7 linked regions of the Nothobranchius furzeri genome follow. The protein of the gene in region 7 interacts with the protein of the main gene of each other region in a pairwise test. Links are inferred from orthologs where the notes say so. Each region holds a gene or a part of one and is shown on either strand. Other genes may lie near its edges.

Region 1 (3,500 bases), on a different chromosome or scaffold from region 7:
CGTGGTGGATACCATCGACACTGCTCAGAAATGCGTCACCTTCCTGAAGGAACAGAACATCGGTGTGGCCACTTTCATCGGTCTAGACAAGGTAAAAAGGTTTTACACCTTCAGTCACAAAGACCGCGACGAAACTTCCTTTGTTCTTCGTGTTCTCAGATGAAGGTGTGGGAGAAGAACATGGCTCCCATTCACACGCCAGAGGACAGCCCTCGCCTGTTCGACATGGTGCGAGTGAACGACGAGGGCGTGAAACCAGCTTTCTACTTCGCCCTGAGGGACACGCTCGTAGCCCAGGACATGGAGCAGGCCACGAGGATGGCGTTCCAGAGGGACAAGCGCTGGAGGGTGGTCACCTTGAAGGGACAGATCATCGAGATGGCCGGTCGGTGTCTTCTGACAGAAGTCTGGATTCATCAGTGAGCTCAAGTCTTTAAGCTTCTTCTGGTGTGTTTCACAGGAACCATGACTGGAGGAGGGCGGGTGCTGAAAGGCCGAATGGGCTCTTCTATTGGTGCTGAGGTCTCTCAGGTGGAGGTGAGTCTACATCGTCACAAATCTCCCAACACTTTGTTTAATCATGATTTATTGCTTTTTAAATCACAAATACTTTAGCTGTGACCCTAACGAACACTCAATATAATCACATAATAAATAACCCGTGCCTGTAAACCGTTACTAGAGCGAAATAAAAAGTTTTATTTATTCTAACGGGTCTTCCAGGCTGTACTGTGAGACCTCTTCAAATGGTCCAGAACGCAGCGGCGCGTCTGGTCTTCAATCAGCCAAAAAGAGCACACGTCACCCCTCTGTTCACTGAGCTCCACTGGCTACCGCTAGCAGCACGCATCAAATTCAAATCGCTAACACTAGCATACAAAGTCCGAGACGGTACGGCTCCCATCTACCTGAATCCTCTTGCAAAGGCTTACGTCTCGGCCCGGCCGCTCCGGTCATCACAGGATCGTCGGCTAGCAGTGCCTACACCACGCTCAGGACAATCCAGACTCTTCTCATGCATCGTTCCACAAATGTGGAATGACCTTCCTAACACTACCAGAACAGGGGCTTCCTTTTCAATTTTCAAGAAACTCCTGAAGACCCTGCTCTTCAGAGAGCATCTTCTAAACTAGCACCCTCCCTGCACCCGCCCCCCCTCTCTACTGTCCACTCCTTGTTCCCTCCTCTCCATGATTGATGTCAAGTTGTTGTTGTTATTGTTGTTGTTGTTAGCCTCAAGGGCAACATGCCGATTATCACTTGTTAAGCCTGATTCATGCCTCTGCGTCTCTGCGGAGACACGCAACGTCCTTGCGGGCCTGCCGGAGAGCTCCGCAAGGACAGACGGAGTCGAGCTCTCTTTTCTAAACATCCGTCCGTCGAGACGGACAACGCAAGCTTGTGATTGGTCAGGGTGCCGCTGTTGTCTACACCGCCGCCATTGCGCCCTCAAAAACAAAGAGAGCCGAGGATAAACTAGCGGCAGACATGGAGCAGCTTGAAGAACACCTCGCGAAAAAACTCTAAAAACATGAACGTTAAATTCTCCCGTGACTGGAGGAGTGAAAAGATGCGCAGCAAGCGTTTTATTTGTGGACGGAAATGACAGGAAACGTGGGTTTAGAGGTGGGGAGCGCATGAAGAGGGGGAGGAGGATGAGGGACAAATTCGTCTGTGTTAAAACGTCTCTTATGTACAAAAAAACCAACATAAACACACATCTTGGACCGATACATGACAGGATACCACAGAACAGCGCTACGCCCCCTGCTGTCCTGCCGGGGAATTGCTTTGCAACACTCCAGGAGACGGAGAAGTATGAGGGGAAAATGCTTCCGTCAATCCGTGCGTGTCTGTCCCTTGCGGAGCTGACGGAGACGCATAAACCAGGCTTAAGTCACTTTGGACAAAAGCGTCTGACAAATACATAAACATAAACGCATAAACATATTTGCAGTTGGACCGAATGGAGAGTAAGCTGAACGAGAAAGCATCAAAGGTGCAGGGCTGCCAAGAGAGAAGGATGCAGCTGGAGGAGAGCATCCAGCGTCTGCGGACGCAGCTCCGAGAGATGAAGAACACTCTGGAGAAATACTCCAAGAGCATGAGTGTAAGAGCTTCACCCACCCAGTTCCCGTCGGTCTCCGATCAGCTCCTCTGCTGTCCGTAGCCGTGAGTACCTCCTGGGTTTAGTAAACGGTGTTTTTCTTCTTCTTGCCTCAGAGTTTAGCCGACCAGGAGACTCACCTGAAGCTTCAGATGAAGGAGCTCGAAGCCAACGTGCTGGCAGCGGCCCCGGACAAGGCCAAACAGAAGCAGCTGGAGAAGAGCCTGGAGGCCTTCAAAAAAGGTAGAACCTTCTCTGAACACGGAGGAGAAACATGACCGACGTATCGTGACACGACTGCAATAATGAAGCGTAACGTGGTTCCGTTAGACTACGAGTCCGCGTCCGGCAAGGCCGAGAAGGTGGAGAACGAGGTGAAAAGGCTCCACAACCTGATTGTAGACATCAATAGCCACAAACTTAAAGCTCAGCAGGACAAGTTGGACAAGGTCAACAAGGAGTTGGACGACTGCTCCTCCATCATAACCAAGGCCAAAGTGGCCATCAAGACAGCTGATCGGTAAGCAGGAAACGCCTGTTCGGGGGGGGGGGGTCTGGGAATAAACCTGGAGTTTATTTAACGTTGGTAAAATGTCTTCTGGCTGTTTACATTTCTGATGTTTTACCGTTTTTCATTCATCGCTGAAGCAGCAGAATCTAAAGGAGTCATTTTTCGTTTTGCTTTCTCTGCAGCAACCTGAAGAAGTGCGAGGAGGGCGTCGCCCGCGTGCAGGGGGAGCTGCAGGAGAACGAGAAGCTGATGGTGGAGCTCACAGAACAACTGAAAAAACTAGAAGACGAGGCCGGGGAGATCATGAAGACCTGTCAGGAGGCGGAGGTTGGTGTTTGTTTTAGGAACACGTCTCGTTTGTGTCGGCACATCTGAGGTGTTCATCCCCGCTCCGTTAGGCCACTCTGCCGGAGGTTCAGGAAAAGCATCAGACCGTTTCCAAGGAAATAAAGGTCCTGCAGCAACAGGAGCACGCACTGCAGGAGGAGTCCCTCAATGTCCGTCTGTCTATTGAGCAGATAGACGCCACCATCAGCAAACACAACGGCAAGATCAAACACTGGCAGGACGAGGTGAGTCCCCCGCGGGATGGCTTCCATCCTTGTGGTTTGTTCTTGCAACTTTAGGTCGTGTCAGAATGAAAATGTAGCTTTAAAACAACAAAATTCCACGTAGCGGCTGGGAACGCTGGGATCAAACGCTAGCTCGTATTTCTGCTCCTCCAAACTGACGTTGATGAAAGAGCCGAGGTATCCGAGTCCCTTCTTGTTTCCAGGCTGCCAAGCTGTCCCTTCATACCATCGACGGCCAGCCAGCAGAGGAACTCCACACGCTTCCTGCTGCTGAGCTCGAAGCCATCTCGGATCCAAACGTCATCATCAA
Region 2 (3,500 bases), on a different chromosome or scaffold from region 7:
CTTTTTCTCTGATGCTGCTGATCACACGTCGACTAAACCAGCTAGGCTGCTGAATATCGACTCACTTCATTTAAACCTTTGTGCTCTTGTAATACAGCTTCAGACCGTACTGCCAAAGCACCTTTAATCCAAATACCAGCTGTGCTGCTTGACTTCAATGTGTCTGTCTGTCCTGATCTTATGGCTATTCTCTAGAGTGACGTTTTAACCCCTTTTTTGTTTATTAGATGATAGAGATGCCTTCTTTTTTGTATTTAACCCCTCTGTTTTTCCAAAATTGCATGAGGGTACACATCGCCCCTGCATTGCTCCCAGCAATACTAATATTGCTCCCTCCAGAGTAATCAGGGAGGGCCATGCTGGGTGTGGATTACTAACTGGCTCCAGGACAAGTCCATCTTCACAGCTTTTCTTTCTCTCATCATGTGGTTTTATTCTGCAGAGTGCCTCCAAAATACCCGTCAGGTCCCCCAGAGGGAGCATCAATGGGGATGGAAGTGCTTCTCCTTACGTACGTTTTATACATCATCTAAGAACGTTAAAGAGCAAGTCACCCCCTACCAGATTCTTACTCAACTCCCACTTCCTGTTTGAAAAATGCAACAAATGCTGTTGCCTAGCAGACCAAGAGGGCGTAGCCACTAACAAATGCACACACACACAGGCTCACAACATCATTGTGACATCATATGGTACTAGCTAACGTTCTAGGGTACCTCTTAGTCAATAGTAATGGCAGATTTAAATTCAAATGCAGTGCAGAGTTTTTACCTGACAACGGCACAACACTGACAGTTTTAGGCAGAAAATAAAAATTTTAACTAAAATGCACTTTAGTGCTAAACTATTGACTACACGTGTCTGCAGCACGATTAGACACACATTTATATAGTTTATCAGGAAAAAAAAGTTGATTTGAGGGTGACTTGCTCTTTAAGCACATTTGTATAATGCTGTAACCTGTTTGGTGATCCGCTCAATTCACTTTTTATGCATACAACAGAAAGAGGAGTCACAGTCCTTTACCCAGAAGCTGCAGCTGAAGGTTCCTTCAGTGGAGTCGCTGATTCGTGGCGGTGCGAGTCGAGCAGAAAGTCTGTTCCGCTCCTCTTCCAAAGAAAACCTGGTTCGAAGTTCCTCACGCGAGTCGCTGACGCCTTTGGGTGAAAACGAGTCCCCTGTGGCCCCCGCATACGATCCGCCTTCAGATATTGAGAGCGAAGCCGAGGAGCCGGCAGGAAGTGTCGAGTCTCTTCCTAAAGAGCAGCTGTTGCACCGACTGCTTCAAGTCGAGAGGAGCCTGGGGAAGTACAGGGGGAAGTACTCCGAGGTGAGACGCCCGCAGACAACGGCTTCTAGACGATTAAAATAGACAAACTGTTCAGTGAAATGCACAAACTTTTTCTTGTCATGCAGCTGGTTACTGCATACAGGACAGTCCATCGGGAAAAAGAGAAAACGCAGGTAATTTGGTTGACATAGTCTTTATTTATTTTCCCTTTATTGGTTTTATCCTTAAACATCTTTTGGAAACTAATTAGATTTATTTTGTCGCTCCACTCAGGCCATCCTCAGTCAGAGTCAAGATAAATCTCTCCGCAGGATCGGAGAGCTTCGTGAGGTGACGGCATGTTTTACTTGTGTCGGCATCGATCTTTCACACTAAAGGTGTACGTGGAAATAAACTCTGTTAATGTCCTCTAGGAGCTTCACATGGACCAGCAGGCTAAGAAACATCTACAAGATGAGTTTGACGCGGCTCTAGAGGAGAAGGACCAGATGATCACTGTCCTTCAAACACAGGTGAGCGTTCAGCTGAGAGATGAAGGGTGGGAAAAAGTGGAACAAAGATTTTGGTTTTAAGTTTACAAAAATTGAATGGATTATTGGTCTTTAACTCATTCACTGCCAGCCGTTTCCTGATCCGAAAAGCCCTTCGCTGCCAGAGTTTTTCAGCGTTTTCACTTTTTTTTTTTAAGAGTCACAGAACGTTGCACCCTATGATGATGTCAACGCCAAAACTAACAAAACAAAGCGTAGACTCACCTCTTACATCAGGAAGAATCCCTGCGTTTCGAGCGTTATCCGTTCTTTCATAATCCGTTGTTGAATTGTGATCGGCAGAAACTTTTCCGGTTTGCGCCTCACTTTTTTTTTCAGCAGCGGCCCAAAACTATCTCCTGACACATGGATTTTCTGCTTCCTGATCACGTGACGTGTGACGTATGCGGATGAAGATTGGCTTTAAAGCTAGGGTGTTTGTTCTCACGGTGCTGGGCTCGTTCCGATGCCCACACAGTAAAAAAATGCAAATGACGACTTTAGTTGTTAGTACATGGTTAATTTATTGATGTAGATTTTTTTGCATCATCAGTAGATTTTCACAAAATAAAATTAAGAATTTCTTAACAGAGAGGACACTTTGGATCATATACAATATTTTACTGTATATGCTGTAAACAAAGCAGACTTCATTACCGCATATGCAAACCACCTGTCACTCGATGCACTGGCTCTCACTGAGGCCTGGATCAAACCATGTGACAATGCTACCCCATCTGCTCTCTCAGTTAACCACACTTTCTCCCACACTTCTCGTGCATCTGGCCGAGGTGGTGGAACGGGCGTGTTAATTACCAACAGATGGATATACAGTCAGTTGCTACCCATCACTAAATACAACTCCTTTGAATACCATGCCATCCAGGTAACTGTACTGAAAAAAATCTTTTTAGTTGTCATATATCGCCAACCAGGTCAACTCAAGAGACTTTCTTGATGAACTCGACACCATGCTCTCCTCCATTCCTGAGCACGACTGTCCCACAGTGGTCCTTGGAGACATGATTATTCACCTGGACAATCCCAGCTCATCAGGCTTCCTGTCACTAATGTCATCATTTGATCTAAAACTAGTACAGAGTCCTCCAGCTCACAAAGCTGGAAAAGCACTTAACCACATTTTCACCAGAAACTGTGCCATAGACACAATCTCTGTCACACCGCTGCATCTTTCTGATCATTACTTCATCCATTTCAGCATGACTACATGGAAGGTCAACTGCTTCCTCCCCAATGGTCTCTTTCCGCCGCAACCTCCGCAATCTGGCACCCAACCACATCTCCTCTCTTGTTGCCTCCACTCTCTGCTTATGAAGTAAATGATGCCACCGAGTCTCTCTTCTCCACACTCTTCTCTTGTCTCAACAACTTGTGCCCTTTAGCCACTAGACCTGCTAGATCCTCTCAGTCGCACCCTTGGCTAAATGATACCCTCCGGTCTCTACACACCAATCTTAGAGCTGCGGAACGGAAATGGCGCAAAACAAAAGATCCTGTTGATCAATTGAAATTTCATGAATTACTGTCCTCATTCTCTGCCAGCACCACTGGTGCAAAGAAAGCTTTCTACACTGACAAAATTCTCAGCTCTACTGACTCTCAGAAACAATTTTTGACATTCAAAACTCTGCTCACCCCTCCATCTCCACCTCCTACCA
Region 3 (4,236 bases), on a different chromosome or scaffold from region 7:
TATTAATGACGACTCCGTGAGCCACACCCTCAGGATGATCCACCCAAAGCTGGAGTATCAGTTGGTGCTGGCTAGAAAAGTTCAACTTGTCGATGCTCTCAAAGTAAGTTTTGGTTAAATGTGTTTTGTTGCTGTTTATTTATGATTCAGTTCATTATAGTTGAATCTATGTTTCCTAGGAACTTCAAGTTCATGAAGGAAATGCAGATTTCCTCATCCCAGAGTACCGCAGCATTTTGGATGAGTCTGCTAACCTTCTGGAGGAGTACAAGAAGCAGCCAGCCCACCTTGAAAGGCTTTACGGTAAAGCTGGAGTAAAAAGAACTAACTTTCACTGTTGATTAATTTTTGTTATTGTTGCTTTTTGATTTTCACTTTATAAAGTTTTGTGTGTATTTCTGTTTTCCTGCAGGAATGATCACTGACCTCTTCATCGACAAATTCAAATTCAAGGGCCAAAATGTGAAAACAAAAGTGTCCTCGTTGTTGGAGATACTTGATAATTACGAATTAAAGTCACTCTTAGACTTTTTCAATGAGCCATGATGCCATAATGGCCAAAGATGATCTATCTCTGTGACGGTTGTTGTGTTGCAATCTTTACATGACGATAGTTCATCTTTGAGACTGTGTTATTTTGTTAAATTTTATTTAGAAATAATTTACTCTCCCTTAAGAGTTGAGTAATAAATTACTTTTGATGTATTAAGGCGTACTGCAAATGGTTAGGAGAATACTGCAATACTCTTATTTTCATGCAAGAATTTGATGGAATTTGTTACAGTTATAGTATGTGTGTCAAATGCTACTCAATTTAATATCTAATCTTTCTGTATTAAACCAGTCCTTGTGCAGTAACTTGTCAGTAAAAAATAGCTAACACACCAATTGTTTTCAATTTTATTCCATATTATTTACATCTTAATGTAATGTACCTCATGCTACAACAGATTCGTCAAGAAACAAGTTGTTGCTGTATACTGGGTTAGGTACTTCCATGTGGATTTAAGTTTTATACACAAATTTATCTAATCAGCATAAGTGGTCATTCAACCTAATGTAAGAATAGGACACATGAAAAATAAAGCCAAACATAAAAATACAATAGTATTTAAACATTTTAAATTATAGTCTTATGAGTAATTTCTTAAACTAAACATATGTGCAAGTCTTTCAGTAAACAAGTATACTGGTGGACCTAGAAATGACCTCAAGCACGAGCCCTAGGTTAGGAAGACGTCTAAGTATGTTGAAGTGCTTCTAATGATATAAATATACATAATTGTTGCAGCAAAGATTTTTATTCCAAATGCGTTAACGTTGTTGTTACTCGCGTTTAACTTTGTATTTGGGATCTTTTTTTCAAACCGGTTTTAAATTTGCAATTAAAGTTTTTTGTCCCTCCTCGCCTCCTACACTTGTAATACGTCAGTTCCTTCGCGGTCTGTGATTGGTCGGTTTCAATCATCGCGGGCTACTTGAACTCTCTAAGTGTTTGCATGAAAATGCATCGACAATAGCTGCTGTCATTGTGCAGGTTTGTACCGGATACAAAACTTATAAATAGAATGGCAACTTAGTTTTTCCTTAGTTTTGCCAACCCGATGTCAAAGGTGCACGTTTGTTTTTATTTGCTTTGTTCTAGCGCTGCAGTTCCAAGTGCTGTTGCCATCTCAACAGTTTAGTTCTGATTCACGATTCAGTCTGCTGTGCAACAGCTAAAGCTCGCTTCGACATAACTGCTCACACGCCATCTTTTTTAGCCTTTTGATTTGTAAGCTTTCCTCTTTTTTTCGCTCTGTGAGGAAGCACACTACGGTTGACCACTGCTTTTTTATTTATTTGTTTTTTTGTTAAAAAAAGTGCGGAGAAGTGGATTCTCTCTTGGAGGGTGGAAACATGTCAGGAGCTAACAGGCAAGGAAATGCGGCTAGTGAGCTCCCCAACCATGAAAACATGCTTTCAAGGCTCAGAGGGTCGCTTAAACACCGAGCTGGTGAAAACCAAGAAAACCAGCCTCCCAAACAAGCCGCCAACAGAACCGTGCTGGGAGCCCTGCAGAACAACCATCGGAGCAAAGCCCAGAACCAGCGAGGCGCTAAACAGGTAACAGGCTAGCAACCTTGGCCTAAGCTAACACCTAGGCAGGCTCTGAAGGCAACTAAAATGGTTACATTTGGATGCAAGTACGTTAATTAGCTGCTTTAAGCGCCTTTTTAAAAATGAAGTAAAATGACATGTTATGTTGCTCTGTTAAGTTTCCCCTGCTTTCCGCCATTTTAATAACCTTATAGCCCTTGAGTTGCTTTGTTCTAAACACAAATGTGCTTCTGGAGAACCTCCCGTCTTCATTTACTGTATTTAAGTCAATTTACACAAGATTTTCTTTGCATTTACAAGTATCCTGTAACCGAGACTTAACACAGAGGTAAAATTAATTTAGCATAATCTGTAGACTTCTTTTATTTATTTTTTTACACACCTGCATGTTTTTCGTGTTCTAATAAAGGGCATACATTTTGGGTCCTTCCTAATACATTTTGCTATTGTAGAGTTAAACTAATTAATCACCAGCTGGTCTGAGAAGAGAAGTTTTTGAAATACTAATTTATTACCTTTTTAATGTAGTATTAATAGTTAATAATACTTTATAATATATTGCTTCCACTGAGCCTCACATTAACAGAAATGCAAAGAAATTTGCTATATTTGAATCACATTTTCCACAGAAGTTTCTAATTCACAAATCAAGTTTTGGCAGATGTCTGTACATTACAGATTTTTTTTTTTTTTTTTGTTCCAGGAAACATCACAGCCCTTGGCTTGCAAAAATGAAGATTTTAACAAAATCCTTGTTGAAAGACCTGTTAAGCAGCCAGCTTTCCAGATCCATGTGGATGAGCCTGACGTAGCCTGTGACAAAAAGCATGTGGCTGAAACAAACAAAGCGAAGCCCACAGTGGAGGAATCTCCTCTGGTTGTCAGTCATGCTGTGGCACGACTCCGACAGCCCCTGGCAGTGATCGAGGTTCCGGTTCCGTTAGCCATGGATGTCAGCTTTGGTGGGTTAATATTCAATTCAATTCAAAAATACTTTATTAATCCCAGAGGGAAATTGATTGCTGTAGTAGTTCAGTTCAGTTCACTTTATTTCAAACATATACATTCACCAACATTTCATAAAATCATTCCACGCAATTGTTTGAAAAGGAGTAGGGAGAAGTGTATACTTATTTAGCCCTACCCCTCAGGTTTACATCCTCATCAAAATTTAAACAACAAAACAGTTACAATGCCTTCAAAAAAAAAATAACAATAATAATAAATAAATAAAATTATCATGTTCAACTAGAACTACATTTAGATTTTCTAATTTGTAGAATAGATTAAACATCAGTTTGCATGCCGTCCTGGGTTAATTGCATTTTCTTCATTCTTATACTTATTTAACATTTCTTTTTTGAGTTTTATTTTAAACTGGTTTACATTACTACTATCCTTTATTTCTTCTGTTAACTCATTCCAGAATTTAACGCCCGCTATTGAAATAGACATCCTTTTCAATGTTGTCCTTACTCTTTGTACTTTTAAATTCCACTTCCCTCTAAAATTATACATAAAAATAACTCAGAATAATAATAATAATATATAATATTAATAATATTAATCAAGTCATCAAAGAGTTATTGTATATCACAATGGCTGTTGGCAGGAAGGATCTCCAGTAGCTGTCAGTGTTGCAGCAAAACTGAAGAAGCCTCTGACTGAAGACACTCTTCCATTGTCGGGCAGTCTTGTGAAGAGAATGCTCAGGGTTGTCCATCATTTTCTTGATTCTCTGGAGAATCCTTCTTTGCATTATCTCCTCCAGCGGTTCCGAAACTGCCGAAACTCTGGCTGAGTCCTTGAAAAGGCTTGGAGTTCCTCCATCCACATTGCCCATTATGATCGATGGAAGAGATGGTTTGAATTTCCTCTTTCTCTGTCTCCGTCCCGCTCTGCACCCACGCTTCTTGCGTTTTAGCTCATTTGGGATTTGTGGCTTCAGTTGAGGTATTATTTCAGTCTTTCCAATGTTAATCAGTTGCTCCCGATTGTAAACCAGACGGTTGCCATGGTTACGCATCACAACATGCTCAAAGTGAAAAAAGCTAAAAGTAGCAGTAAAAATCCTCCAAGCTTCACAGCACCAGAAACAGAAAAGTGTCCAAAAAATAGTTTTTCTTGAGAAACTAG
Region 4 (3,962 bases), on a different chromosome or scaffold from region 7:
AACTTAAAGTCAGCACCAATCACAGAAAAGGTCAATGTTGGACCCCGGCTATCTGCGGGTCAGGTTGATCTAATTGTTTCAACATTAATTCAATGGAGCGCCTGTAGCGTTGACGTGGCGACTGATGCACAAAAACAACACCCTGCGTAAGTCTCTCTTTAATTTATTCATCAAGCCTCTGCAAGCACTGCTCAGCGCCGAGCCCCCGCGGCTTTCCTCCTCTTCCTCGCTACAGTATTGATTCCCCGGGATTTCAAAACGCCCGCAAGACTGTAGGTGAGAGCTGTGGTCAGTCGGTCCAATTAAGGAGGCAAAGAGAAGGGGTCATAAAAACAGAAAGAAGAGGGAATAACATACATCTCCTGAAGGCCTTGCACCACACCCTGTTTTTGGCATCAAAGGGGACCCCCTTTTCTCCCCAAGGCAGCTCAGGAAGAAGAGCGTTATTGAGCAAGTGGGCAAAGTGGGGGGAGCATGTAGGGAGACTCCCACCCTCTTCTCGGCCCCGTCTCTTTCATCACTCTGTGGTATTATTCATTTTCTGTCCTTTTATACTCCATCCAAAATCAACCCGCAGACCTATAGGCTCATGACACAGCTGCACTCAAGTTCAAAGGAAATCCAAACGCAGCACGATCCGGTGAGGAGATGATCGCCTACTGGCTGTGGGTGCAAGCTGAAGGCAGTGAGCTGCTGATAATGTGTTTTCTCTCTGTGGAGACAGACTGTTAGCAGGGTAGCTATGGTGAGATTGGACTTTAATGTCCGCTGCCAAACCTGCCCCCCCTATTGGATGGGTAGATAGACATTTGTCATTTTTGTGTGTTGGCGGTTTTCCCATCTGCTGCTGTGTCCATGCAGAGCTCAGAGTGACTTCTTCGCCATCTCTGCTCCTCTATTCTCAGAAATAACAGCATGCAGTCCTATAAAGGAGAAAGACAGAGTGGGGAATGGGGATGATGGGAGTGGAGGCGTGTGGGGATGATGGGAAAGAATTCTACCCTAAAACAGGAAGTGGAGACCCCGAAATGTTCCTTAAATATCCCAGCACAATATGTACCCTTTGTTGCAGAGAGGAATAGCATGTCTCCATGAGAACCGAGGCGCTGTCTGTGTGTGACTCACTGATATGAAGGAGTTTATTCATAGTGTGTGTGTGTGTGTGTGTGTGTGTGTGTGTGTGTGTGTGTGTGTGTGTGTGTGTGTGTGTGTGTGTGTGTGTGTGTGTGTGTCAATTCTGCAGAGACAGAAATAAAAATTGAAGAGGTGGGAGATGTTGAGACTGATTTAAAGATGCTTGAAGCAGCAGGAGGGGGTGTGTGTGTGTGTGTGTGTGTGTGTGTGTACGTGTGTGCGTGCGTGCGTGCGTGTGTGTGTGTGTGCGCGCGCGCGAGTGACAAAGAGAAAGAGAGAGAGCAGGAAAGCTGTAAAAGGAGATGCTGTTTCTTGTTTTCCTGTGGGTGTACTGCAGTAACTCGGTAATCCTCATTAATATTTATCTGCCGGGCAAAGTGGAGAGAATGATTAGCTCGTGAGAGAGTTTGAGAGTGTTCATGTGCATGTTATCTGTGAAATCCACCCCACCCCTTCCCCTTTTGTGCATGTGTGTGTGTGTGTGCATGGATGTATTATAATAGCGAATAAAACACAAGAACTAGGTCAACTTCTTCACTCGAGAGACAAACAACTCCCAATACTTCAAAGTCTAAATGTCACTGAGTGTGTTACTCATTGCTCACATGACTTTTTGTGACACACACATGCACACACATTTCCTCCCAAAGACACAGCTGTGCACGATGCCATTGATTTTCCTACTTGCACTTCTAACACAATCACATTAAACCAGACTGATTGGAATTGAGTTTCAGACAGGCTCTGTGTCACTTACAATCTTCCCGTCTGTGACAGCGGCGGTGGCGTCTGCGTGGGTTAAAAACGAACCTGTGATGGAAATAAAAGCCAAACGAGCTAAAAACCCGAGGTTGTTGTCACGTTTAAAAGAAGCACCTTTTCCAGGGACTTTATCCAGCCTCAGCTGAGAATGCTCTCCATGTGTGACCCATTTCCCTCCACTGCTCTCCTCCCTTCTCCCCGTCTGACTTGCCACGCACTCCGGCATAACACGCCTGAGTGAAGATCAGAGAGCAGGAGGAAGATGGTGAGATAGAGAGATGAGAGGGAGAGATTAAAGAGGCACAGGAGAAAGTCAGATTACAGAGCGAGAGTTTTCTCCTTTGGTTCTTTCTCCTGTTTGGGTCAGAACTCTGTGCAGTGCTTTGGTCGGCTGACGTGCTGTTTTTAAATGTGCAATATAAATAAAATTGGATTGGATTGGATGGATTGGAACTGTTCCGACTAAATGTTGTTTTCCTCCATCTACCATGAAGCTGAATGTAAAACTCTTCTGAGTTAAACTCCTAAGTCCCGTTACCGTGGTAATAGCCGGCCAGTTGACGCTCAGGTCTGGTCTGTTTCAATCACACGGCTGGTTTGACCTTTCCCAGGATTCAGAGGGGCATTGCAAACACGTAATCATGGGAAAAGTGCACTGTCATGCCTAACCTCTCGCCTCCCTCCTAACCACGGCAAATATTTACACCCCACTATAAATTACAGTGGCTGAGGGGTTGAGCATCTTCAGTCAAGCCCCCGTTCCATTTTGGAAAATTCACACCAGAGGATGAGTACATTCCTCGTGGGTTTCTCAGGACACCAGTGAGAGCACAATGTCTTTCCCAGAGAGAGAGAGAACAACCTTATAAGTTCATTTTAGTTGTTTTATAAAAGATGTTTATGAAAAAAAATGTGTATTTCTTCCTTGCTGTAAAATCACACATATTTTTATAAATAAATATTCAAAAGTTAGGAAATTTTAGCTGTTGCTCTTGATTTTAAGTGTAAGTAGAATGATTATGGACCTTTTTAGAACACTTTATCTCAGACAGAGTCCCAGTTATTGCATTGATAAACCTCTCAGTGACTTAGAAGGTCTCTAAAATCCAGTTTCAACCCACCACGCTCACTGGGCTTTGAGAAAGGTTGGAGAATCACGGTACCGTGCAGATTTATTGATTTTCTGATGAAGGCTATAATAAAAGATTTAGCAGAAAATGACAACAAAGATAAACATTTGTCTCCTTTTTTCATTTTAAAAATTGCAGGTGACATTTAACAAAGTCCCCTCAAATTCCATTTAAAAATGAAAGTCTACTTCCAGGAAAAGCTAGCTTTTAACTTTTTTTTCATTTGTAAAAAAAACCCAGCATTCATCGTTCAGGGCATTTTGTTAAGGCTGTGTTTACAACAGACTGAAATAACAGACACTGAAGGTTGGGCGAATGGGGTTTGTGTTGCCTCCATGTGGCCATTGTTGTAAATGAGTTCATGTCAGCACGTGCAAGATTGTGGATTTCTGTCTCAAAATTAAAATCTACAGTTAATGTAATCATTTGCTTTTTTTCACCTTATGGATGAAAAAGTAAAATCAGTTGAGTTTAAATGCTTTTTTTTTTCCTGGGACAGTTGAGCCTGGGAATGTCGGCTAAAAGGAAAAATGTGAACTTAAAAAAAACATTTTGGCTAAAATCCCAACACTGCCGTCCCTTTGAGACCAGATGGAACAGTTTGTTTTCAGTTTCTGTAATTCAGTCTTATTATAAACACACAAATGTGCATTCTTTTCTAAATGTTTTCCCTGCGTGGTTTGTACCCTTCTAACAAACTAACAGTCTGAGCAGGTGAGTGAGATGTTCAGTCTGCAAGCACATCCCTTTCTCCTGGAAATCTAACGCCGAGAGAGGGAAAGCGATCGCGGTTCAGAGAATGAGAGTGCGTGTCGCTTTAAAACCAAGTGCCGGTCAGAAAACCGAGCGACTGGCTGCATTTCCTTAGTGGGAATGTTTGTGTTTGTGGCGCTCAGGCCAGCAGATGGAGGCTGAATTACTTCAGTGTGAAAAGAG
Region 5 (3,500 bases), on a different chromosome or scaffold from region 7:
ATAATGCAACTATTGATCAGAACACAAATTCTCCATACATTAGACAACAGCTGCAGCGTTCATATTCAACTCCAACTAAAATAAAATGAAGCCCGTTAGCTCTTACCTCTGCTGGGCCAGGCTCTGCTCCTGCATCAAAGTGCTGAGTTTCTTTATTTCTGCAGACATGCAGTCCTTTGCCTTTTGCAGCTCGCCCTCATACTCAGCCTCCAGTCTCTGTCTCAGCATCAGGACCTGTGGGTCTAAAACACAAACCCGTTAGCAGCTCTCTTAAGAAATCTCTGAAAACAAGAGCAGGTCTGGTGAAAAGTATCTTACTTTCATTTCTGTCCAGATCAACCTGCAGAGACCTGAACTTCTCTTTCTCTTCCTGGAGAGCCATTTCCAGGCATCCCCTCTCCCCATCAAGCTCCAGCTTCAAGGCAGACATCTCGTTTGCATGCTTCAGTTGAAGCTCTTCTTTTAGCTTCCCTCGTTCCTCTTTCAGAGCGTTCTCAACAAGGTTAAGCTGCAGAAACAAACACAAGTGTGAGTTTGACTAACGGTTCATGTGTTTGGGTTCTCTCTGCAGAGCCTGCTCAGATGTACTTGCACCTTTTGTGTGTTTGACTGCATTTCTGCATCGCGCCGTTCACTGAGGGAGGTGAGTCTGTTCTCCAGAGTGTGGATGATCGTCATTCTTGTTTGCAGCTGTTCAGTGAGGTACCAAGTCCTCTGTTCTACCTCAGCCTAATAACAGAAAAGCAAAGCTGAGCATCACAAGGTTCACAAAGTCACAACTAAGGATGTTCCGATTACGTTTTTTGCTCCCGATTTGATTCCGAGTCATTTGATTTAGAGTATCTGCCCATACAGAGTCCCAATCCGATACTTTTCAGAAAATAATTAATAGAAAAAGGGGAAGAAAAATCAGCAAAGTATTACAATAAGAAGAAAACGCATCTAAATTGTCCTGTTTCACTTCTTTTTTTTTTCGTTGGTAAGGTCTTACTTGAACCCAAAAATATTGCTTGATTGCAATCATTTAGGTAAGTACTGCCCCCTATCGCCAGAGAAAATACACACCATCACTATAAATCTGATTTATTTCTCCCAACTCCGATCCTTTCAAAAACATGTGATCGGGCCCGACTTCTGATCATGTGATCGGATCAGAGCATCCCTAGTCAAAACCAAATGATCCGAATCCTCACCTCAACCTGCCTTGCTGCTTCCAGGTGAATTCTGGTTAGTTCTACACAAAAAACAAACAAACATTTAAAATGTTATTAAAACCAACTTGTAAATAATACAGTGTTTATTGTGGAGGTGCATGAGTGAGGTACCCTCAACGTGGCTGTCAGACAGTTTGGCTCCAAGTTGCTGCAGCTCCAGGGCATGACGCGTCTTCATCTCCTGCAGCTCTATGTAGTAATGGTCCGTGAGGTCAGAGCGCACCTGATATACAAAGATTCATACAGAACACATGAAAGAGCCATAGTCCTGTGTGCTAACAATTTAGGTGTCTGAGGAACTGCCTGACCTGCTCCAGCTCGTCGTTAAAAGAAAGCGTTAAACTAGTCTGCAGACTGGGATGGTCCAGGGCATGCTGGTCCTCCAACTCAAGTAGCTCCTGGATAAGATGCCCAGTAAATGAATTAAACGGCCATTTATTTTGTAAAACTTATCCATAATTAAAACGACACTGGTAGGAAGCATCGAGTCTTCACATCCTACCTTCGGTTTCTCCGGTCTGACCTCTTTGTCCTCTTCAGCTTTGGCTTGAGACAAAATACTGAAAGAGAGAAAACACATGAGAACTCTGGAATAGGTCAGAACTGTCCTACAATGTCACATAAAGCCAGTGGACACACTCGTCATCCGTTGTTTTAAGCACGGATTCCTCCAAGGCACTTTCTACAAGCCTCAGCTGAAGCAGAGCGATTTCCTCTTTGTAGCTCTCCTCCGATGCACGCAGCCTCTTCTCAAAGTAACTGGGAAAGGTGATGGTAAATGACAAAATAAAAGCCTTAAATTTGATGCTGGTTTATGTTCTGAATAATAATTCATGCAGATCACCGTCATAATAAGTTTAAGCAGACTTTGTGCAGGAGTCGTACCTCCGGAGGTTTTCCAGCTCAGCCTCATTCTGTGCTTTGATTTCTCGCTTTTGCTCATTAAACTCCGTCTTAAGGCACTCAATGTCGTTAACATGAGAGGAACGAGCCAAAAGCTGCTCCCTGAGCTCTGCAGGACCACAAAGCAGAGAGATAAAGAGTGTAAACACACCTGGGAATACACACACTCCTTTGATTTTCAACAGTCGCTTAGAGAGTAAGAAAGCTAATTTAAGCTGTTATAGACAGGATTATTCTCAAAAAGCTGAATATTTAAATGAACACTGAAGATCAGGAACTAAAAACAGAAACACACACACACACACGTCAGGCTCCTGTATTAACCTCACCTCCCAGCTCCTGACGACTAGTCCTCATGCTCTCCAACTGGGCCCACAGCTGACCTACTTCCTGTTCCCAGCTCTGTTTCAGAGACACCTTCTCCTCCTCCAGGCGCAAAACCTGATCGTCAGAGTTGGAATATTTATTTGACGTGTGTGTGAGGAAAGTGCCAGTGAGGCGAGAGAATGATGCTCATTCGGGTTGGGCATTGTTTGATTTTGAATGATTCCAATTCCACGTTTCGATTCCGGTTCCTATCGATTCCTGATTCCGATTCTTTCAAGACATGACATGCTTTACATGAGCTAACTAACCACAAGCCCTACTTGATGAAATAATCTTAACTTCAACATGAATTTTTATTCTATGAACAATAACATCACCTTCATTTAGACAAAAACATGTTTTGGGGAAAAAAAATAAAAAGACGTGCAGCACAACCAGTGTGTTTGTTTCTGACCACAACCAAAGACTGGAAGAAGCCTCTGGGATGAGAGACTAAATGTCTCCAACATTCACAACATTGTGTGTCATTTATTATTATTATTTATTGTGGCAGAAGCTGGTGTGGTCCACCACAGAGAAGCTGCTCTAGCATGATGACTTTATTCTACAGGTTATTGTTCAACCTTCTGACGCACGCACGCACACACACACACACACACACACACACACACACACACACACACACACACACACACACACACACACACACGTGTTGGTAAGTGTGTGTTTTTATTTCTGCAGTGAGACAAACTCACCTCACACAGTTTGTTCTTTAAAGCTTCTGTTAAATCCACCGTGTTGACGTATTTTAACAAGTTTCCTCTACGCTGCAGGAGTTAAAGTTTACATTACGGAGTAAAAGTTCGGCAGACGCGTTTGTTTATATTTGGCCGCTGCGTGCTGGGTGGGGGGAGGGGGAGACTCGGTGCTGCACACAGACAGCTGGTGTGATCAGCTCTGAAAAGCGTTGATCCCAATTTGCAGATCATGTTTATTTTTCAGGGAAATCGGCCACTGATTCCTCTTCCGGTCGGCATAGTAGGAATCGAAATAAAA
Region 6 (3,931 bases), on a different chromosome or scaffold from region 7:
ATGACAATTGTTAAAACTGTTTGATTGTTCAACATCTCTACAGGATCCTCATTAAAAAATGAATGCAACTCAGGATGGGAATAATTCTTTTGACATTGCAGAAGCAATCAAAGTGAAGGGCAGTCCAACTAAATATTACAAAGTGACACTTTTGGGGATGGGCAGGGTACAGTTGAGATTCAGTTCTTCAGGCTATTTTGGAAATGGTAACACTTTTTTTCCTAGACGTTTTGACAATTTTCTTTAAAATTTCAACATTTTTCTTGACGTTTTAACTTTATCCTGGAAATAGTATTTCACTTGTTGACTAGCATTTTTACTTTTATACAATTAAACCCCGAAACCCCTTTTTGAAACAATTTATTAAATTGTGGCTTCTTCGAATAGGAAAATAAATAACCCATGAGAGTTTGGTAGTGATTTTTCCACCAGGCATGTGAGCATGTTTGGCCTGCCAGACTCGTCCTCTGTTTAATTCTACACAGAGAACTAATGCTTCCCATAAGGATGCATGACTGGTCAGGCTAGCTGAATGTGGGAGAAAAGAGATTTAAATAAAGATTTTGCTTTGAAGTTACAAACCTTCGGCTGAATTTCCTGGCTGATCCTTGTTGATTGCTGTCTGAATATTACTGAAGGAAGCAGGTGGAGCACATTGTTGCAGAACACCGATGGCATCACAGAACTGATCAGCCAGCTGTTCACACGCAACAAAACAAACACGGGTTTTAAAACTCCGGACATTTGTTTAAAAGAATATAGAATAGATAAACAGCCAGTATAGTCTGATAGTTGCATTACCAGTTAAACCAAGCCATGTTCATTGGTTAAAACATAAAAGCTGTGATAAATTGTGTAAATTAACTAAACCTTAGACTCGCAAGTTAGCGATTAGCTACATTTAAAAGACTGAAACGATAATTCTGCAAATATTTCTTATCTAAATCCATTTGTTGTAATTGTGTAAGATAAAAAAATAACTATTGACGTAGAAAATAATTATATTTCGGGATATTTCAATAGTTTTGCTTACAGAATTGACAGCGTCTTGAAGTTGCGTTAGCCTATCCGCCATGTTGCCGTAAATAAAATAAAAAACTCCCCAACGTGACCCTCGCGAGAGTTTAACGTCTCGCGGAAATAAACAAGAGGCTTCGAGTTAGCTGAAGCGATGGCTGTGACCGTCCCACGGCTGGTTTTTTGTAATGTGGATAGGTTTTAAATCGACTTTTTCATGACTAGCGATATTTACTCTCGTGCTTTAAGGAAATGGGAACGCGCCAAAGCATCTAATCCGGAGTAAACGTCAGCTTTTAGCCAGTGTTAGCCACCAAACAACAACAGGAAGTAAAGAAGCTAACTCAACCCAAGTGGTTTTGTACTTTGAACTCTTCAGGTATGACCACACATTTGTCAGTTTTGCTGCCTTTTGTGGACCTTACAAGTTTAGTTATAGCAGCCGGTTGGTGTTATGAACTCCTCGGTAGTTTATATTTGATTAATGAAGTGTTGTGGTGATAAATTGTGTCAGTAAATGCAAAATATGTTAAGTAATAAAACTCTTATTAGAGTAAAATGACCTATCAATGCATTATTGGCTGTAAACTAGCGTGCTATCACCTACGAGGAGGCTTAAGGTTCAAGCTAGGTTCTTTAGCTTTAGAAACGTTTATTCATGGCTCATTTCGATCGTTCTGGTGAATTATTATTATTTTACAGAGTGTGGTGAAGTGAAAGTTCATGTATTTTCGTGTGGCTGTCTGTAAAAAGATTCTGAACAACTAATATAGAAGTAGACAGATCTTTGAATGAGCTGAGTTTGAAGAAATAAAGATTAGTACTTACTGGACTGATTTGTTTGCATGTATTCGTAGTGTATTGCATTAATTATATTTATTTTCAATAAATTGATACCAACAAGTCAGAGCTGTTGAATAATCAAAAATAAGTTGTTTTTATGCTTCTGTATTTCCTTAGGTATGAATTGTAGTTTAGAGAAGGTCTTGGCAGATGCCAAATCATTAGTGGAAAGGCTTCGTAACCACGACAATGCCGCTGAGATGCTAATTGAACAGACAACATCTCTCAACAAGAGAGTGGAGGCTATAAAAACGGTATGTGATTTTTTTTTTTCCTATTTTATGTGCTGTTGGGTACTAGCTTAGTGCCACCAGGGGTCACATTTTACTAATTCTATAACTGAACACTCTATAATGCAAAAGAAGAAAGTAAAGTGCATTCCAAAGAATGATGGAATATTTTAACCGTAGCGTTGACTGCTGTTTAGTTTACAGGACATAACTACTGAGGGCGAAGCTTTTTATTGATTCGTTATTTATTTATTTTTTCACATTTGACAGTACCAGGAAGAGATTGATGCACTGAACCAGGTTGCGCGACATCGGCCTCGTTCCAGTCTGGTTCTGGGAATCCAACAAGAGAACCGTCAGATCAGAGAACTCCAGCAGGAAAACAAAGGTAGTCTTTCAGTGTTAATACTCATGGTGATTGCTTCCTGTTCGGTACAATACATTCCTTTACTTTTGTCAAATCACACTGCTTACAAACACTGAAATGTTTTTGGGCAGAAAAAATGTTTTTTACAAATATCCAGAGACATCATTAAGGTAAAATTTATTTACATAGACATATACAGATCGACTAGAGTTATTTAAAATCCTTACAAAATATTTTTCACTGCATTTCCCTATTCATTTGTTCAGTAATTAGTAGTCACTTACTTAGCTTGCTGCCATGGTCCAATTAAGAGTGAATAATTAGCCTACTTACCTTTTTATACCATTACTAAAATGTCTTCCTCGTACCACTAGAGGGAGCTCTCATACCATGATTTGAGAATGACTTTGTCATAGTTAGCCAACCAAACATGCGTTCTCTCTTTCTGCAGAGCTCCGAACATCTTTGGAGGAACACCAGTCTGCGATAGAGCTCATCATGACTAAATACAGGGAGCAGGTGTTCAGGCTCCTAATGGCGAGCAAGAGGGATGACCCCGCCATCGTCACTCAGCTGAAGGAGCAGCACACCACGGTCAGCAACTCGGGTTTCCTTTGTTCTTCTAATTCATATTTTAATAACTGTAATGTAAAATCTTCTAATCATTTTTTGTTGATCTGTGCAGGAAATGCAAGCGCACATAGACAAAATCAACGAGATGGCATCTGTGATGAGGAAAGCTATAAAGGTGGATGAGGACCGAATATGTGAAGACGAGGAGAGGATTAAACAGTTAGAGGTAAAGACGAATAAGGAGTTGCTGCATCATCCCTGTAAATGTTCTGAATTCTGATGCAGGAAAACATGTTTGACATGAATGAAACAAGGGAGAGTTTAGCTATTTAAATGATTCATGAGTCATCTTACACAGGTAAGCAATATCATTTAAGACTAACTCATTTGGATCAAAGCATCTGCCATAGTGGGTTAAACTATGAATCAGTACATTTGGGACCGGTTTTCCCACTGGTTCATTCAGTTTGTTATAACTGAGAGTAACGTTCTGACAAACGGGTCATGTAGTTAAGTGATCTAAACAATAAGAAGCTACAGAGAAAATAAAATCATGAAAGAAATCAGTTTAAACACAATGTTAATGGAAATAAGAAAGTAGAGAACAGGCATTATGTTTGTGGTTTAAACATGAGAGTTTTATTATCTGTACATTTTACAGAAGGCTGTAGGTTCAAATCCCGGTAGATCAGATTAACCTATCTGTGACCACCAATAGAGCTGGACGATATACATAAAAAGCATATTGATTAATATCAATAATTATTAATAACTAGAAAATGTAGAAAATATATTAGAAGTGCTGAGCTGGCCATTTTATGGTCATTACGTACAAGTTGGTTATTACCAGACTTGATTTTCATTGTTTTTATCAGACTTTTAATAATCTAAATATTTCCAT
Region 7 (3,952 bases):
TCCTCGTCCTCTGGAGAACCAGACAGCTGAATAAGGCGTGCACTTTTAAAGCACAAAGCATTTTTTGAACTCTTACACCCGCAGAGCTCACTGAAGGGCTTCAGCTCTGAGTCACCAAACAAGTCTGACAGGCCGGCGCGATGATGCCGCGAAGGAAGCTTGTTTTATGTTACTATTATTTTTATATTTTATTTTATTATGGATGACATCATCACAGCTGTTTACTGTAATCAAAATAGGAATGAGTCTTAATGTATTAATGCAGCTTCTTATTTAATCTCAATCCAATGAACTATTGTACCTTTTTTTCTTTTTGAAAGAAACAGCATGTAACTTTGCAAGCCCTTACGTAGCATTAAATGGTTTAAGCATTACATTTCTATTCTGAAGAGCAGCGAACAACTTTCCAGCTGAAACTGAATCTGAATTTTCTGATTTTTGGCTACTGAAGTCACTCGTAGTGGATGTCTTACCTGTCCAGCGTGAAGCAGCAAGCGTCTGTTTGAGCTGTTCTTCTCACCTTACCTTTTGTCAGACTTTTAACCGAACTTGCCAAACGGGTAAAACAAGCATCCTGCTTTAAATGAAACACAAAGAAAGGTCTATGACTTATATGAGACATATTTGCATGCATGGGAAGTTTGGGCACACCTTCATACGATTTCATAATTCATACTTTCATAAATAAAATTCTTTGAAACACTGACTCTAAATGTAGTATTAGTGCTTGTTTAATAAATCCAGTTAGAAAATGCTTCATTAATCCCAGATGGAAATTAAGTGTTGTTGTGAATAAGGAAACAATAATAAAAACAATAAAATTTAGGTATCTATCTATCTATCTATCTATCTATCTATCTATCTATCTATCTATCTATCTATCTATCTATCTATCTATCTATCTATCTATCTATCTATCTATCATCTGTCTGTCTGTCTGTCGGCCTAATCTTTATTTATTTTTGTTCTTGTGAAGCACGTCGTGGTTTTTATCTGGAGATGCGCTGTATACACGATCGTTTTCCTTATTTCGTTTCTTTCTACATAGCTAGCTACCGTTGCTATGGACACAGAACACCTAGCAACCGAAAGCCTATGGCGCATGCGCAGCTTTCGTTCGCGGTGCACTGTGGGATTGTTGGATATTGACATAGCAACGGAGCCCCAGAGCCGCCTAGCATTCGTGTTTTAGACCAGTTTTCGCCCCTTTTCTAGCAGCTAAATTGTTCAGTTGGGATTTCATCTGCCGCCATGAACGCAGCGGTGGTGAAGAGGACTCAGGACACGCTGGGGAAAGTCATAAAGAAGCCGCCGTTAACGGAAAAACTGCTAAACAAACCGCCGTTTCGTTACCTTCACGACATCATCAGTGAGGTGAGACCGACTAAGGACAACAGTTACGTTTAAAGACATTTTATAAAGTTAAAAACTGTATATGAAGCCCTTGCGTGTGCTTTATTATCTGTGTCCATGAAAGGGATAGCTCTAACCGGACAACCCTCACCAGGAGCGAGTTAGCTTAACCGCAGCTGTTCAAAAGCGGTATCACTGCATTTCTCCTCTTCAGCACCCAGAGCGAACACGCGTTAAAGACAAGCAGCTGCTAACGTTCATTATTATGACTGTACATGTTTAGGTTGTACTTGCTTCACACCTGCTGCCGAGCAGCTGACCACAGCTGTCTTGTTGGATGCATAAGTTCTGCCTTTTTGTATTTAATGTACAGCAACATTTGATCGACATCTAGATGTTAGATGTTTACAAACGTAGGATTCACCAGTGTAAGTCGTAGGTCTGGATAAATATTAAAATTTGTATTTTATTTGTAGTATCAGCTCCAAATAATGACAGTGTAAATGTCAAAAAGTATTATTATTTCAATGATTGTCCCTTCTTAAGACAAAACTTACTCTTGTCTAAGTAGAAATGGCAGAACGAGGGTAAAACACAAAGGCAACATATTTTGTACATCAAACATTTTCCTGTTATCTTCTGGCAACTGACGTTTTCTGAATAAGGAAAATTTAGAATATTTAAGATTTTAAATAACCAAAAACCGGTTTAAAATACTATTTATTTGAATAATGTATCTACACAAGAATTAGAATCATAATATATTGTAGAGTGCAGTCTGTCGTACTGTTTGTGTTTGGGGCATCATTAGATGCTCTTATTTTGATGAGCCACTCTGCTGTTTTCCTGATTTATTTTTGACTGACGAGCATTTCCTAACTGAATGAGTATTTGTGCAGAAAAAGTGTGTTTTCATTATTTACCTAAATTATTTAGGTTATTATTCTTCCCATAACTGAGCATCTGTGTGTGTGATGTGTGTAGAACAATATGACGTCAGCTTCTTGTGTTAAACCCTTTTTCTGCTCATGTTTGTGTAAAAAATAAAATCGTACATTTGTGTTTGTGTACATGCTTAAGAAAGCAGAACGGGTATTCACAAACAGGATATATTAGCAAAATGTATATAACTGCATGAACTAAATAATACATAATATATAATGTAATTTTAAAAATATTTTCTTTAAAAGCATGTTTTTTTTACAATTAAACTCATATTTTAACTCTTTTCTTTAACAGATTAGAGACTAAATCTATTTTCTAAACAGAACTGAGATCTTATTCTCTCACCACACTGGTTGGATGGTTTTATGTTTCACTCTAGCTTTATTTATAATTAATTGAGGTTAGCATTCCTATAGCAATATTCTTTTATCTGACTAAAGGAATTCAGTTGTTTAAGACATACTTGATTGAAAATTAAAACATTTTGCAGCCATAAGTCTGCTTTAAGCTTGCTTCCATAAAATCAAAAACATTTTGTGTTAACTTGTATTAGAATGATGTAGGTTTTGCAGAAGCACCTATAATATTTGTATAATAACAGTAAACCTTTATTTTCCTCTTGACTCTAAGGTAATCAGGAGCACTGGTTTTTTGAAAGGCCTCTATGGAGAAAATGAAATGAAGTCAGATAGTGTAAAGGTAAGCTTACTCTTGCTATATTTACTTGATTTTTGACCTTTTTTTCCCCTGAAAAGACTAATTTGTTCAGGATTACCCCCGTGTGTTTTCACTGGGCAGCCTGAGTCACCAGATACGCCGTCTGGCAACACTGTGAGCTAGAAGATCTGGCAGGCAGAGACTGAGTGTTTGTCGAGGTGTCAGAATGCTAGTCTGCTATTTGCAAGGCGATCCTTGATTAGGACTGAATGAAAGAGAGCTACACCGAGTCTTCTCTGCTTACAAACGTAGCTGCACGCTGCCCGTTTCTTACTAGTGAGAGAAATGAGTTGTTAGTGTTGTGTTTTACATTTCCTCCCTCGAACAACGAGGTAACAAGCGGTTAAACCCAGTCACTCTGGGGGTAAGATTCATATTTCAGTTTCATCACTTCAGCTGTCAGGAGTGCAGAGAAGTCAGTTTGACCAACAAGTCCTCCTGGTCTTTGGTTTATCAGTTTACTGACCTGCTTTTGCACAAAACAAATGATGTCATCATTTCTTTTTGGTATGGAACCAATTTTATTTAGATTTTGCCTTTAATCAGTTTATATTTTAAATGTTTTTGTCTCGGTAACGGCTTTTTTCATTATATCTCATTCTAGGAAAAGGACTCAAAAATAACCTTTCTTCAGAAAGCGATAGATGTCGTGATGCTGGTGACCGGCGAGCCTCTGGCGGCCAAGCCCGCACGGATCGTTGCCGGCCATGAGCCGGAGAAAACCAACGAGCTGCTTCAGGCCATCGGCAAGTGCTGCCTCAATAAGGTCTGCATCACACACACACGCGCGCGCACACACACACGCACGCACACACACACACACACACACACACATGCACTCACACTCACACACACACACACACACACACACACACACACACACACACACACACGCGCGCGCACGCACACACACACACACACACACACACTCACACTC

The links.
Region 1: the proteins of traf3ip1 (region 7) and smc4 interact in a two-hybrid assay, tested with the Homo sapiens proteins (2 studies listed by BioGRID and IntAct). The link is inferred for Nothobranchius furzeri from reciprocal best matches to the Homo sapiens genes TRAF3IP1 and SMC4.
Region 2: the proteins of traf3ip1 (region 7) and golga4 interact in a two-hybrid assay, tested with the Homo sapiens proteins (2 studies listed by BioGRID and IntAct). The link is inferred for Nothobranchius furzeri from reciprocal best matches to the Homo sapiens genes TRAF3IP1 and GOLGA4.
Region 3: the proteins of traf3ip1 (region 7) and ccna2 interact in a two-hybrid assay, tested with the Homo sapiens proteins (2 studies listed by BioGRID and IntAct). The link is inferred for Nothobranchius furzeri from reciprocal best matches to the Homo sapiens genes TRAF3IP1 and CCNA2.
Region 4: the proteins of traf3ip1 (region 7) and frmd4a interact in a two-hybrid assay, tested with the Homo sapiens proteins (2 studies listed by BioGRID and IntAct). The link is inferred for Nothobranchius furzeri from reciprocal best matches to the Homo sapiens genes TRAF3IP1 and FRMD4A.
Region 5: the proteins of traf3ip1 (region 7) and pcnt interact in a two-hybrid assay, tested with the Homo sapiens proteins (2 studies listed by BioGRID and IntAct). The link is inferred for Nothobranchius furzeri from reciprocal best matches to the Homo sapiens genes TRAF3IP1 and PCNT.
Region 6: the proteins of traf3ip1 (region 7) and fgfr1op2 interact in a two-hybrid assay, tested with the Homo sapiens proteins (2 studies listed by IntAct). The link is inferred for Nothobranchius furzeri from reciprocal best matches to the Homo sapiens genes TRAF3IP1 and FGFR1OP2.

Annotation. Positions count from the first base shown.
Region 1 is NC_091753.1:52,617,985-52,621,484, forward strand, and holds part of smc4 (structural maintenance of chromosomes protein 4), read left to right. Parts: coding exon 1-91; intron 92-159; coding exon 160-385; intron 386-460; coding exon 461-537; intron 538-1,957; coding exon 1,958-2,110; intron 2,111-2,223; coding exon 2,224-2,350; intron 2,351-2,437; coding exon 2,438-2,627; intron 2,628-2,800; coding exon 2,801-2,945; intron 2,946-3,016; coding exon 3,017-3,190; intron 3,191-3,393; coding exon 3,394-3,500. UniProt on the Homo sapiens protein: Central component of the condensin complex, a complex required for conversion of interphase chromatin into mitotic-like condense chromosomes.
Region 2 is NC_091752.1:16,190,716-16,194,215, reverse strand, and holds part of golga4 (golgin subfamily A member 4), read left to right. Parts: intron 1-442; coding exon 443-511; intron 512-1,003; coding exon 1,004-1,330; intron 1,331-1,416; coding exon 1,417-1,464; intron 1,465-1,564; coding exon 1,565-1,621; intron 1,622-1,704; coding exon 1,705-1,803; intron 1,804-3,500. UniProt on the Homo sapiens protein: Involved in vesicular trafficking at the Golgi apparatus level. May play a role in delivery of transport vesicles containing GPI-linked proteins from the trans-Golgi network through its interaction with MACF1. Involved in endosome-to-Golgi trafficking.
Region 3 is NC_091741.1:74,293,187-74,297,422, forward strand, and holds the start of ccna2 (cyclin-A2), read left to right. Parts: upstream 1-1,436; 5' UTR 1,437-1,537; exon of another isoform or gene 1,538-1,863; 5' UTR 1,864-1,899; coding exon 1,900-2,106; intron 2,107-2,803; coding exon 2,804-3,062; intron 3,063-4,236. Other genes in the region: bbs7 (Bardet-Biedl syndrome 7 protein), read left to right, coding at 1-103, 180-303, 413-546. UniProt on the Homo sapiens protein: Cyclin which controls both the G1/S and the G2/M transition phases of the cell cycle. Functions through the formation of specific serine/threonine protein kinase holoenzyme complexes with the cyclin-dependent protein kinases CDK1 or CDK2.
Region 4 is NC_091744.1:72,025,685-72,029,646, forward strand, and holds the start of frmd4a (FERM domain-containing protein 4A), read left to right. Parts: upstream 1-1,162; 5' UTR 1,163-3,962. UniProt on the Homo sapiens protein: Scaffolding protein that regulates epithelial cell polarity by connecting ARF6 activation with the PAR3 complex. Plays a redundant role with FRMD4B in epithelial polarization. May regulate MAPT secretion by activating ARF6-signaling.
Region 5 is NC_091758.1:23,787,430-23,790,929, reverse strand, and holds part of pcnt (pericentrin), read right to left. Parts: intron 2,559-3,500; coding exon 2,447-2,558; intron 2,227-2,446; coding exon 2,100-2,226; intron 1,974-2,099; coding exon 1,854-1,973; intron 1,775-1,853; coding exon 1,717-1,774; intron 1,613-1,716; coding exon 1,523-1,612; intron 1,438-1,522; coding exon 1,326-1,437; intron 1,235-1,325; coding exon 1,194-1,234; intron 730-1,193; coding exon 595-729; intron 509-594; coding exon 319-508; intron 243-318; coding exon 107-242; intron 1-106. UniProt on the Homo sapiens protein: Integral component of the filamentous matrix of the centrosome involved in the initial establishment of organized microtubule arrays in both mitosis and meiosis. Plays a role, together with DISC1, in the microtubule network formation.
Region 6 is NC_091741.1:59,845,428-59,849,358, reverse strand, and holds the start of fgfr1op2 (FGFR1 oncogene partner 2 homolog), read left to right. Parts: upstream 1-1,131; 5' UTR 1,132-1,396; intron 1,397-1,977; 5' UTR 1,978-1,979; coding exon 1,980-2,114; intron 2,115-2,360; coding exon 2,361-2,478; intron 2,479-2,908; coding exon 2,909-3,051; intron 3,052-3,142; coding exon 3,143-3,256; intron 3,257-3,931. Other genes in the region: med21 (mediator of RNA polymerase II transcription subunit 21), read right to left, coding at 583-697, 1,034-1,075. UniProt on the Homo sapiens protein: May be involved in wound healing pathway.
Region 7 is NC_091754.1:2,499,749-2,503,700, reverse strand, and holds the start of traf3ip1 (TRAF3-interacting protein 1), read left to right. Parts: upstream 1-1,152; 5' UTR 1,153-1,251; coding exon 1,252-1,374; intron 1,375-2,928; coding exon 2,929-2,997; intron 2,998-3,619; coding exon 3,620-3,781; intron 3,782-3,952. Other genes in the region: agr1 (anterior gradient 1), read right to left, coding at 1-42, 474-577, 1,057-1,152.